2 linked regions of the Caenorhabditis elegans genome follow. The protein of the gene in region 1 purifies or fractionates together with the protein of each later gene. This does not show direct contact. Each region holds a gene or a part of one and is shown on either strand. Other genes may lie near its edges.

Evidence for each region. The genes of interacting proteins can lie anywhere in the genome.
Region 2: the proteins of C50F4.1 (region 1) and F42A10.9 fractionate together in Caenorhabditis elegans (co-fractionation; one large-scale study listed by BioGRID). This does not show direct contact.

What each region holds. Positions count from the first base shown.
Region 1 is NC_003283.11:9,524,854-9,529,769, reverse strand, and holds C50F4.1 (CHK kinase-like domain-containing protein), read right to left. Parts: upstream 2,978-4,916; 5' UTR 2,926-2,977; coding exon 2,824-2,925; intron 1,961-2,823; coding exon 1,340-1,960; intron 1,251-1,339; coding exon 1,161-1,250; intron 1,092-1,160; coding exon 982-1,091; intron 801-981; coding exon 635-800; 3' UTR 520-634; downstream 1-519.
Region 2 is NC_003281.10:6,162,921-6,170,580, reverse strand, and holds the start of F42A10.9 (Gamma-glutamylcyclotransferase family protein), read right to left. Parts: upstream 6,009-7,660; 5' UTR 5,930-6,008; coding exon 5,838-5,929; intron 5,779-5,837; coding exon 5,682-5,778; intron 5,676-5,681; exon of another isoform or gene 5,293-5,675; coding exon of another isoform or gene 5,028-5,292; intron 4,431-5,027; coding exon of another isoform or gene 4,286-4,430; intron 4,141-4,285; coding exon of another isoform or gene 4,117-4,140; intron 4,063-4,116; coding exon of another isoform or gene 3,327-4,062; intron 3,274-3,326; coding exon of another isoform or gene 2,197-3,273; intron 2,111-2,196; coding exon of another isoform or gene 2,051-2,110; exon of another isoform or gene 2,034-2,050; intron 1,991-2,033; coding exon 1,892-1,990; intron 1-1,891. Other genes in the region: efk-1 (Eukaryotic elongation factor 2 kinase), read left to right, coding at 2,051-2,110, 2,197-3,273, 3,327-4,062, 4,117-4,140, 4,286-4,430, 5,028-5,292; nfm-1 (FERM domain-containing protein), read right to left, coding at 6,967-7,182, 7,388-7,562.

The sequences.
Region 1 (4,916 bases):
TTACAATAAGCATTTTATTGTAAACCGTACGCTGAGTAGCCCCAAGTTTCTAAAACATATATCAGATCTTGAATAACGAGATGTCTGACAACTGATGATTCATGAACTACCCACATAACATTATCTCCTCCCGCCTGACCTAACTGTCCTGTTAACAAACTTTCGTTCCTATTTATTCTTCTTGTTTCTATCCCTCTTATTCAGTGTATTGTATTTATGATCTATTATGTGTACATTTTTCTTTTTTCTTCAACTTTTTCCACGTCTCTTCGCGAGCGTAAATAAATAAATTAAGTAATTAATATCTATTTACAATATAATTTATAAATAGTATATTGCTATTTATATATTGTAATATGAACATCTTCTTACATAATTTAATTTGAAAGAAATGTTCTGATTTTCTCGAAGACACCCAATCCCTTTTTTAAGCAAGCTTCAAGTGTTTTCTCACACGTCATACATTTATTATTTTGTCGTCCGTATATCTACGTTGTCAAGAGATGCATCTTTCCGTTCTTGTATTGAAGATTTATTCATTCGTCACCAAGAAAAAACGACCAATCTTTATTTTTGAATTCGGTCATTTATTCTCGATTCTTTGAAAAAAAAAGCAAATACGTTATCTTATTCTTCAATCATCATTCTCTTTTTGTGAGAGAAATGGGTGCTCATTATCCGAAATGTAGTTTCCAGTCAAGAAATCTACAGTATCATTCAACGCTGTCTCCCATCGACGTGCAGCATCTTGTTTGACGTCATCCGAACCTTCACTCAGTGTAAAAAGTAGAGACTCGATTCTGGAAATGATTAGAAATTTTATTTAATGGGACTAGTGTTCTGAAAATTTGGGGCAACCTAAAATGCCTTGAAAAATTATTTTCTTGAAAATCCGGTAAAACACTATTTTATAAAAAATATCAAAAGTACGACAACTTTTTGGTCTTTTAAAACATTTGAAAATTTGAAACCTAAACTCACCCATTGATTAGAACTGTAGGTTGATATTCCTGGAACCATCTTTTCAAATCATGCAGTTGATACTTTGGTGGGTAATAGTCAACAAGTGCATAAAAATAGACTTGAAATATCTAAAATTAAAACAAATTACATCAAAAACATCTGGTGCTCTGCCGTTCCCATAAGACTCTCGAACCCACTTTCATGAACTTTTTTCGTCGAATGTCGACATCTGCAGATGAAACAATCAAATTTGCTAAATCCTCCACTGGATTTCCAAGATGAATGTTCTAAATTAATTAGGTTTTCGTTGTTGAAAGATCAAAAGTAAAAATTATAGTAGAACGCAGTTTTTTCTATTTTAAAAATAATTACGTACTTCCCATTCTGTGATCTCTACCAAATTCCCATCCTCATCAAATCTGCAAATCTCAGCTGTCAATCTTCCATGTGCGATAACATTATGTTTTTCCTTTTCATCTGCATCTTCATCTTTCCAATCTTCCAAGTAATGAGTCAAAATTCCAACTTTTTCAATAACTGAGGATGGATTCATGAAGTAGTCTGCAACTTCTGTAGTAGTTACTGCTGTTTCCAACACTTCAATCAATTCTTTTTGAATTTTCTTTTTGAATGATATGATGTTTCCATAATTTTCTTGCACATTGAGTGAGAATTGTTTATTGATAGTTTTTGAGTTGACAGCGTGTAACTTTGCAATCTGTGAGGCAACTTGTTCCAATTCTGGTAATCCCAATTTGGTACGAACACTTCCTTTCTTCAAAAATTGAGTAACATAGACAGAATGTTTGTTTTCATCTTCCGTCACAACAAACGATCGATTAAAATGTGCACTTGGAATAGGAATCTTCTCAAACGTTGATATCTCATGCCAGAAAAGTGAATTGTAGTAGGCGGCAAGCTTGCTTCCTTCCTCTAGTTTCACTATAACATCTTGATCATCTCTCACCAAATGCACTCGGAAGAGGCCCTCCGCTGTCTAAAACCAGAAAACGATGATATTCTAGAAGGGCGGGAGAAAGAAATTGGCCTCATTCAAAGGTCATTCAGTATCACATTTTGGCACATTTCTTTCGAATTTGGAACAATTTCGTAGAAAGTTTAAATCTAATCCTAATACTATACTTCCAATATTTTAATTATTTTTTTTTGTTTCAACCGTATTGAGTTCAATTTTGAAAAACTTGTTTATTTAACAATATTTCCGTTTTCTTATCAGTAAAACAGGCAGTTAAAAATTTCCACAAAAAACGTCATTAGAAAATGAAACGACTTGAACGAAATTTCCTTATAACCGGAATAATCTTTGTGCTCATTTAACTCCCAATATAATACACTCCATCCAAAAACACAAACATGAAGTATTAATTTTAAAGAGGTAATATGGAATTAAAAAACATGAAAGCTTTGTACGAAGACAAAACATTGGAAAGTAATTCGTACTAGCACCTTTAAAAGTGAAGTTCAAAGATAATTTCACAAGCAACATTTTCGAAAATTTTTGAAATTAAACATTAAAAATTGTCTAAAAATATCTTAATCTAGCGTTGACGGTTTTTTCTAATCGTTGAAAATAATAGTCAGATTAAGAGAGTCGACAATGTAACGTATACGATTTTGGCATCATATTTGCAATATTTAAAAAATTTGCAAAATCCTTTTAAAATTTGAGCCATTAAAAAAACTAACAGTAATAGGAGTTACAATAATTTTATAGTACTTGATATCTGTAGTACATTTAAATTTTGAGTTAAAAGTTTTTGAGATTTTTGCAATGCCCTCAAATAGTTCCTATTGGTTTAATATATGAGTTTTCAACTATGAACTAATTTATAAAGTTACCTCTAACTCCACGGTTGTGACACCATTGATAGTGACAGTAGGATTAAGTTCTTTAACTCGAGACAATCCAAGTTCCTTTGCAATTAATGCAGTGATGAACATAATAACTTCTCTGTGAATCAACCAACAATGCCAACACTGATATGTCCTTCTTCTGAAAATGCAAAGAAAAAAGGGAGGAGAGGGAGCAGGTGGACGAGGTCTTGTTATCAGTGATAAAAAATGCGGGAGAAAAAAGCGAAGAGAATCGAAACTAATGACACTGTCCCGTTTATGACTTTGATGATGGGCGACGACAATACTTGCATATTTTGTGTTTCGTAGAGCAAATAACATTTGCAAACACATTTTATAGCAATGAAAAAGAAGAGGGAGTGAGTCACGAGCTGAAATTTTGAACGAAGATCATAGGTGGTAGGTACTTTGCTAATGTGGTAACCATTTGAAACTGATATTTATCCGAAAATTATGAAGTGGGCGGCACAATTCTGGACGTAGGATATCGGATATCAAACTAGTGGGTGGCTGAAATGAAGACGAATTTAAAATTTAAAGTTCACGTTCGAAGACATATAGGACATCTGCCAAGTTGGCACTACATGTATCACATTAAGTTTTCAGAAAAATTGCGATATTTTCTCTCTAGGCTTGCTTCATGTAATCGAGTTTGAAATCTTCTTTCATATTTGTTTCTGGTTTCAATCTTACTGGCTAATATTATTATCAAATCAGTAATAATTTGGCGAATTTTGAGCTAGGTTTATATTCAATTTATACTGGAATAATTATTTTGAATCGTAATGTTGTTTGTGTAACGGTTTGTAAGCTTATAATTTGGAAAATCCTTGAAATTTTTCGTTGGGTAAATCCGCGCTAATTTTTTACCCCGCGCAAAAAAGTTCAAAAGTTCAGAATTGAGGCCTTTCCATTTTACATGTGATTTCCTAAACTCTAAAAATAATTCCAAAATTAATTTTAAGGAAATTTGAAAACAATAACCTCAGGACACATTTAAATTATTGTTTTCATCCGTATAGAATTGAAAAAAATCATTTTCATAAATACCTATTTTCGAATTAACGTTTTGTTTTCGTGCGTACTTTAATGTTCTTTCAATAGCCCATTTCATCCTTGCTCCGGTTGAGTTGACGAACGCCTTCAAAATGAGCCATAATTGAGAGCATTACTTTTTGATGCATTTTATTTTCCATTAAATGTTGTTTCTCTTTTTGTTGCGTTGTGCAGAACAATAAAAATACAAAACAATAATTTAACTTTCGATCCAATTAAAATTATTTTTTTTAGAAAACCAAAAATATTGATTCGATATAACGCTGTCTTAAAAAAAAATCTTATGAACAAAAACTTCATCTGAATTTCTTTTTCGTATTGTTTTGTTAAGAAACTGAAAAAAAGTTGTTTTTTTCCAAATCGAGGCAACTCTTGTTTTATCAATATCAGTTCATAATCTCTTCCCTTTTGTAAGTGGTAAATAAGAGTTTCTGTTTGTTTTATAGTATTAAATCACTCATAAATTGATACTAAGTAATCTTCCTTTAAAACTATTTTTGATGCCGCATTGAATATTTTTTATTCTGAATATTTCAGAAAAAAAGTTGCCATCTAAAAATATATCTAGTATTTTTAGGAACTTTAAGAAGTGCGACTTTGAAATGTGAATGATTTCAGACTTATCATGAAAAAGTGCTTAACTCGGTAGAATTTCCAGCCTGTTAATCAAAAAGTCACGCATCATTTGACCCATCCGATTGTTTGATTTTAGCCACTCCCTTTCTAGCATTTTAAAAATGCTTCATGACACTCAACTGACTCAATACGTCAACCCATTTCCTTCTCCTCCCACTCAACAAGTCAAAACAATTTTTGTGCATCACGAACAACCACCTCCTTGTTTGGTAACATCATGACGTTTGAAATGCTTTCACCTTTACAAATTTGCATGACACTCTCTTTGAATACTTTGGGTGTTTAAACCTAAACAGCTTATATTCTTTGAGAAGGCATCAATTGGTCATTCTTCAAATTCCTTGCTCCTCTAAGCATTGTTTCCTGTTGCAAAAACCGTGAGCAGC
Region 2 (7,660 bases), on another chromosome or scaffold:
TTCAACAATGAAAAATAAAACAAACGGTCGAAGACGTTTACATTTTTTTTTGAAAATTTCGTGTCTACTTTCTACAGTAACCCGCGCTGTCTGAATGAGCTCATTCATATTATCTATTCCATAAATATCCTAAATCAATAATTATAGGTTCCTTCATATACACTTTATTTTAACTTCCTCTATATTTTTCAGCCAAAAAAAACACCAAGTGGTCCCAACCATTCATCCATCCAAGTCAAATGTGCACACCCATCTCTTTTCGGTTTACACTCTGTCTGTTTCTCTAAATCTCTCATTCTTCATCATTGTCTCTCCTTCTTCTCCTTTCTCCATTCTTCTGGGTGCCTCTAGGCCTTTCTCGATTTTCCATTTCTTCACGTAGTTTTCTCCCAGTTTTTCCGTCGGTCTTTTTTCAACTTCAGAGAGTCTACTGATTCCTGTTTCTATTTTAAAGTGCTAGTGATAAATGTCTGAGAGATATTGGTCACATTTGACCTATTACATTCGGCTCGGTCAGATTGAAGTTTCAAGGAAATCAGAATATTTCATTTTTATATTCCAAGAATCTACTCAACCAGATGATTTATTATGTTCATTAAAAATAATAGGATTGGTTTCTCATTGATATATTATTCACCATCTGCCCTTTTTATCAAATCACAAAAAATCATTTTTATCTTTAATGTCTAACTGTAAGTACAAAAACGTGCAAAACTGAAAAACTTAAAATTGAAAGTAATTTTCGATTTTTTGTTCTTTTGATTTTTTAATCTTTGATCTTGAAAATTTTCCTCGACGTTTCTCGAATGTTCCTTCAAAAAATATTACCCATTATAATTTATGAGCTTTTTTCTTTCTCTATTTATTCCTATCGGGCCCGATATCGGGGAGGATTTTAGATTTTTTAAAAAATAATTTTATAGAACTTTTGAAGATACCTCTAAATGCCTACAATACTTACAAAATATGAAATAGTTTTTGTTTCTTTTCAAAATGCATAATCTCATTTATAAAAATGATTTATAAAACACAATTTACGGACTTTAATCCAAAATCGTATGTTTTCCATTGAAAAAGATAATATCTTCCGAATCTGGTTCTCGATCCTCGTAATTCTCTATTTACCCAACTCTTCTCTACACACAAATCACTGGATTATAGACTAAAAACCTAAAAATGCTCGAAATAGAAAACTTCTGCAGTTTGAATCTTAAAATTGTTCTAAAAGTGAATACGAATTTCATAAATCTCAATTATCAATTATCAGAAACAAATATTCAGAAAATAATTGGAAAACCTTTAATAATTTTCAATTATTACTTCTAATGGTCGTTTCAGAATGTTATTTTTAAAAATCGATTTCTTTTCACTGAGATCAAATTTACTTTTGGATCCATTTTTTACGAATGCATAATAAACATATTGTTATTACATCCAAAAATTTCCATAAAAAGCTCTCAGCTGACCAGCACGTGACGCATCTCGATGGAACAGAAATCAAACTGTTTATATGTTTGTTTGCTTCTCTTTTCTCTATCATCTGCTTTCAAGTATTCTTTCATTCGACACGTTCTCCCCCCGTTGTCGCTTTAATTCATGCTCGTTTTTTGTTGGGTGTGATTAGATGAGTAGTGTCTGGGCCTGACATAGAAAACAAGACCTTTGACTTGCCTTGAGTTCTGATACGATACCTGGTCTCAACGCGACCAAAAAATTTCAGCGCAAACAAGAGAGTGCGCCTTTAAAAAGTACGGTAGTTCTCCACGTCCAGTTTTTCCCAATTTCATAGATTTTACACTTTAAATCTTTTTCGCAACTAGGTAATATCGTTTTTTAAGAATAAAAACATCTACAGTAGGAAATCAAACAGAACCTTTTTTATCTGACTTACCTCAACTTTCTTTCTATCGTACAATGTTGGGTAGGCTTCCAACTCATCGAGCACCTTCAATTTCTTCTCGCAAACTTCATACATTTCTCCTTCAATGTTCTGAAAAAATTTGGATTAATTATTTACAAAATAGTTGTTTCAGTAGTCAAACTGGGCAAAATGACGATCGACACAACAAATGAGAGCGACAATAGTCCAACTAACTCACCAGGATTGGAGGTGGGATTTTTGAAAACAATTCTTTAACAAAATTAAATTTATTTAATTAAAATTCAATTAAACAAACTACAATTTTTACTTTCAAGGCCTCGGCTCGGACATTCTCGCTCAATGCGTCAAAAATGGTTCGGATAACCGACGACTACGCAGATGAAGTGTTCATTGAACAGAATGATGTCGTTATCGAGAAGCCTCGTATGGATCCTCTCCACGTTAGAAAACTTATGGAGACATGGCGCAAGGCTGCTCGCCGAGCAAGAACAAACTATATAGATCCATGGGATGAGTTCAACATCCACGAGTATCCAGTACAACGAGCTAAACGATATAGGTATTCTGCAATCAGAAAGCAATGGACAGAGGATATAGTCGATGTGAGACTTCATCCGGACAGTTTTGCACGTGGAGCCATGCGAGAATGCTACCGACTCAAAAAGTGCTCCAAGCACGGAACAAGTCAAGATTGGAGCAGCAACTATGTCGCAAAAAGATACATTTGTCAAGTCGATCGTAGAGTTCTTTTCGATGATGTCAGACTTCAGATGGATGCCAAATTATGGGCTGAAGAATATAATCGGTATAATCCACCGAAGAAAATTGATATTGTTCAAATGTGTGTCATTGAGATGATTGATGTAAAAGGTTCTCCACTCTATCATTTGGAGCATTTCATCGAGGGAAAATATATAAAATACAATTCAAACTCAGGATTTGTATCAAATGCAGCTCGTCTTACACCACAAGCATTTTCTCACTTCACCTTCGAACGTTCTGGTCATCAAATGATGGTTGTCGATATTCAAGGAGTTGGTGATCTTTACACAGATCCTCAGATTCATACAGTTGTGGGAACTGATTATGGAGATGGAAACCTCGGAACTCGTGGAATGGCTCTTTTCTTCCATTCACACAGATGTAACGATATTTGTGAGACAATGGATCTATCAAATTTCGAACTTTCGCCACCTGAAATCGAGGCTACCGAAGTTGCGATGGAAGTAGCTGCAAAGCAGAAAAAGTCATGCATAGTTCCTCCAACTGTGTTCGAAGCAAGAAGAAATCGAATTTCAAGTGAATGTGTACATGTCGAGCATGGTATTTCGATGGATCAATTGAGAAAAAGGAAGACGTTGAATCAATCGTCAACCGATTTGTCAGCAAAGGTGAAAGAAACATTTAAAAAAGTTCTAACGTATTCTATTTTTATATTTTTCAGAGTCACAACGAAGACTGTGTATGTCCTGAGTGTATTCCAGTTGTTGAGCAACTCTGTGAGCCTTGCTCCGAAGATGAAGAGGACGAAGAAGAAGACTATCCAAGAAGTGAAAAAAGTGGAAATAGTCAGAAAAGTCGACGTAGTAGAATGAGCATTTCAACGAGATCTTCTGGCGATGAATCAGCATCTCGTCCTAGAAAATGCGGATTTGTAGATTTAAACTCACTTCGTCAGAGACATGATAGCTTCAGAAGTTCTGTTGGGACATATTCTATGAATAGTTCTAGACAAACCAGAGACACTGAAAAGGATGAATTCTGGAAGGTTCTTCGAAAACAATCAGTTCCAGCAAACATTCTATCACTTCAACTTCAACAAATGGCTGCTAACCTGGAAAATGATGAAGACGTACCACAAGTCACCGGGCATCAGTTCTCTGTCCTCGGTCAGATTCATATTGATCTCTCACGATATCATGAGCTCGGGCGGTTCGTAGAAGTTGATTCAGAACATAAGGAAATGCTTGAGGGAAGTGAAAATGACGCTCGTGTACCAATCAAATACGACAAGCAGTCTGCAATTTTCCATTTGGATATCGCTCGGAAGTGTGGAATCCTTGAGGCTGTGCTAACATCGGCTCATATTGTTCTCGGATTACCACATGAATTGTTGAAAGAAGTCACCGTTGATGATCTGTTTCCTAATGGGTTTGGAGAACAGGAAAATGGAATTCGAGGTGAGCTTTTTTTGTTAATTTTTCTCTTTTAAATCTGAAATTCCAACTTTTCAGCTGATAAAGGACAAAAACCTTGTGGTAAGAATCAAGTTTTCTCGTGTGTGCTTTTTAAAAATTATTTTGTGATTTCCCAATTTAACCTTTCGTGTTGTTTCCTTTTTTGAAAGATTCAATCCTAGTGTTCTCAGCATCCCGTATTTTATCAAAATTCAAAAATTTTCAGACCTAGAAGAGTTCGGCTCCGATCTGATGGAAATTGCTGCAGAGATGGGTGATAAGGGTGCAATGCTGTACATGGCACACGCTTATGAAACTGGTCAGCATCTCGGACCGAATCGAAGAACGGATTATAAGAAATCGATTGATTGGTAAGAAATTTATGAGATTCTAGTGAAGATACAGTAACCCGACTTTATAGAGAATACTTTTAAGAAACCTAAAAAAGCTAAAATGTTTGATGCTATAGCTTCTAATTTTTTTTAATTGAAAATTTTTTCGAATAGCCGGAAAATTGAAAATCGAAAAAAAAGATTTAGAATGTAATTAACAGATTTGAAATTTCATCAAACTTTGTTTGTTTCGATGGAAATTTTTTTTCTTCTAAATAAAAATTTCAATTTACGAAAAAAAAAATCAAAAAACGAAGATTTTCGATTTTTTGAAATTTGAATTTTTGAACATTTAGGAAATTTGGAAATTGAAATTGAAATTTTTTAATCGAAAATTTTTTAAAATTCGAATAGAAGTACCCGTCTCTGATTCATTTTTTATAAGAAAAATTGTGAAAAACCAGAAAAACTAGGAACCTTCAAAAAATATGTTCAGAAAAAACTAAATCTACTTGTTGTATTTTTCAAAAAGAAAATCATATATGACCTATTTGCGATTTTTATTCTGGACTTCTTGGATGATTTTGTTCCTTAACATTTTTTCTATAAACTTGAGAAATATTCTAAATTTTGTAGGTATCAACGCGTCGTTGGATTCCAAGAAGAAGAAGAACTTGACTCTGATTGTGGAAAAACGACATTCTCCTCATTTGCTCCACTGACTCGTCACGAGATTCTAGCCAAAATGGCTGAAATGTACAAAGAGGGAGGTTATGGCCTGAATCAAGACTTCGAACGAGCATATGGTCTATTCAATGAAGCTGCTGAAGCAGCAATGGAAGCAATGAATGGAAAGCTCGCAAATAAATACTATGAAAAAGCGGAAATGTGTGGAGAATGATTCTTGAATTCCCCTTTCTTCAATCCTCAATGTATATCCTTTTTTCTGGTATAATGTACATTATTGTTTGTTTTTTTTTTCATATTAGTTAGTATCCCCATCCCCTACAATTTTTAGTTTCCCCCTGTCACAGTCCCCGGATTCAAGGAAAGAAAAAAATTTCAAAGATTTTGAATACCAAAAAAATTTCGGATCTAAACAAGTTTTTGGCATTTATACTCCCTTTAAACCGTGCGCATAATCATTTTTCTGTTTCTTTCTTTAAAATTTCCTTATTCATCTTTGTTTCCCTGCCAAAGCTGATTCCGTTCTCGTTCTTTTTTTTTAATTACTTGTCAATATGCTTCAAAGTACGTCGGTTTAAATAAACTTCAGGTTGTAAAACTCACATTTCCATTCCCAGCATCATCAAGCAAAAATGGAATGTTATATTTGGTTCCAACTACCAATGGGAACTTTTCCACTGTAGTTCCAGATGAGATGAATCTGAAAGAAGTAATGCATCACATTTGACACTCAAAATTCTTCAGTACTCCCGAACTTACCGATATTCTCCGTCAGTTTCTGACAGAACCTTGTAGTTTGGCTCTCCTGTTTTCAGGGTTCCATACACGAAAACCTTGAATTTTTCGCCCATTTTTGCTGGAAATGAATTAATAAATTACAGATTTTTTCATTATTTTAAGTTAATAAAAAAACATTTAAAAAAAATCTGTATTCATCAATCATTCGATATGTATATTTACACAATATGCCTTTCGGAAAAAAGAAGAAAAATACGCGTTTTTGTCTTGCCACGAAAGATTATTGATTGAAAAATGGCAAAAGGGTGTGGAAAAATCAATAAACTGAATGAGCACAAAATGGGGTTATCTCTTATCGGGATGGGGAAAAACTGAAGAAAAAAAAGGAAAATCGGTTCATAAATGGCCATAAAGTTTCTTATCACATTCCATCAAAAGCTTGTGCTCGTTGTCGTGGAGTTCCTCGCATACTCTGAAATTATAAGAAAATTATAATTGGAAAATGAGAAGAATAATCAATCAATACCACACTAATGTTCATTTCAAAATTTGAAAAATCACAACAAAATACACCGACGGACAGGTTTGTGAAATTCAAAGATATAGTTTCACTAAAAAATGTGTGATTTTTTGAATCAATTAATAAAATTAATAAAGTCTTAGCGCGAGCGAAACTTTTCAGATACCGTACCCTGGGTTTTGCTTTTTCTTGTTTCTTTCTATTTTTAAAAATTTTTCGAGTTTTTGTTGTGAAAATCTTATTTTCCCTGAATAGGTTTACTACAAAAACATAAAAACTCAAGAAAAAGAATTTCCAAATAAACGATGGAACGTCTACTATTGGATACTGTAGCGGAAAAAATAATCTCGTGTCAGTACCCGACGTAACGATTGCGCTCTAAGAAATATTTTTCGCGCTGCGTTCATTGTTGCGATTCCTGATTTTTAAATTTTAAGTCAAAAAAAAACAATTACAGTGTGCATATTATTGAATTTATTCATAGAGCGCTTGAACCATGAATGTTTATTTTCAACTCTAACAAAAATACCAATCAACAAGTGTTAGAAAACAATAATTGGAAAATTAGTCAATATGCAAACACGCTCTACCACACAACAATCAAACTCTGGCACTATTTTCTCACTATATTCAAATGTCAGCTTCCTGCCATTCAGTGTTTCCCAAATCATAAGACTGCTGTCTATGCAGCATCATGACGTGGCTCAGAATACTTGACGAGCTCGTAGTGGATACTGTAGAGACACGTGGAATCCCTCGTCCCGCCACATGTCTAGCGACAGTATTGAGCTCCAAGGAATCGGAGGAACCCGATGAGCCAATTGAGCTTGCGCTTTTTGATTTTTTCTGGAGATATTCCGAAGTTAAGCGTCAAACTTACAAATGCCAAACGCGCGAAATTTTAATAAATTAGAAGCTTAACATATAATAGAATAGGATGAAAAAGAGATTTAATAACTTTTTGAACTTTTGACCTTCTGATCATGAGATCAGCTTAGTAACCGTTCAGAACGGTAGCATGCTAACAGAACTTGCTAAATTATCTACTTACCATTCTCATCGTCGTGAACTTATCAAAACCGTGTGCCACATTTTGTGCATGAACCGCATCATGCTCTCGATGCTGCCCATTTTGTACATTACCGTCTCGTTTCAGGCCGTCAATATCGCCACGTAATTCTTCCAGGTGCTCCTTGAAGATTCGCGCTCGTGTTTCGTATTCTGACCTGAAAAAATTTCTAATGTCACATACTATTCTCTATTAGGATTGTACCTCCATTGCTCAACTCTGCTAGCATATAATTCAGTTATCCTTTTTTTTTAA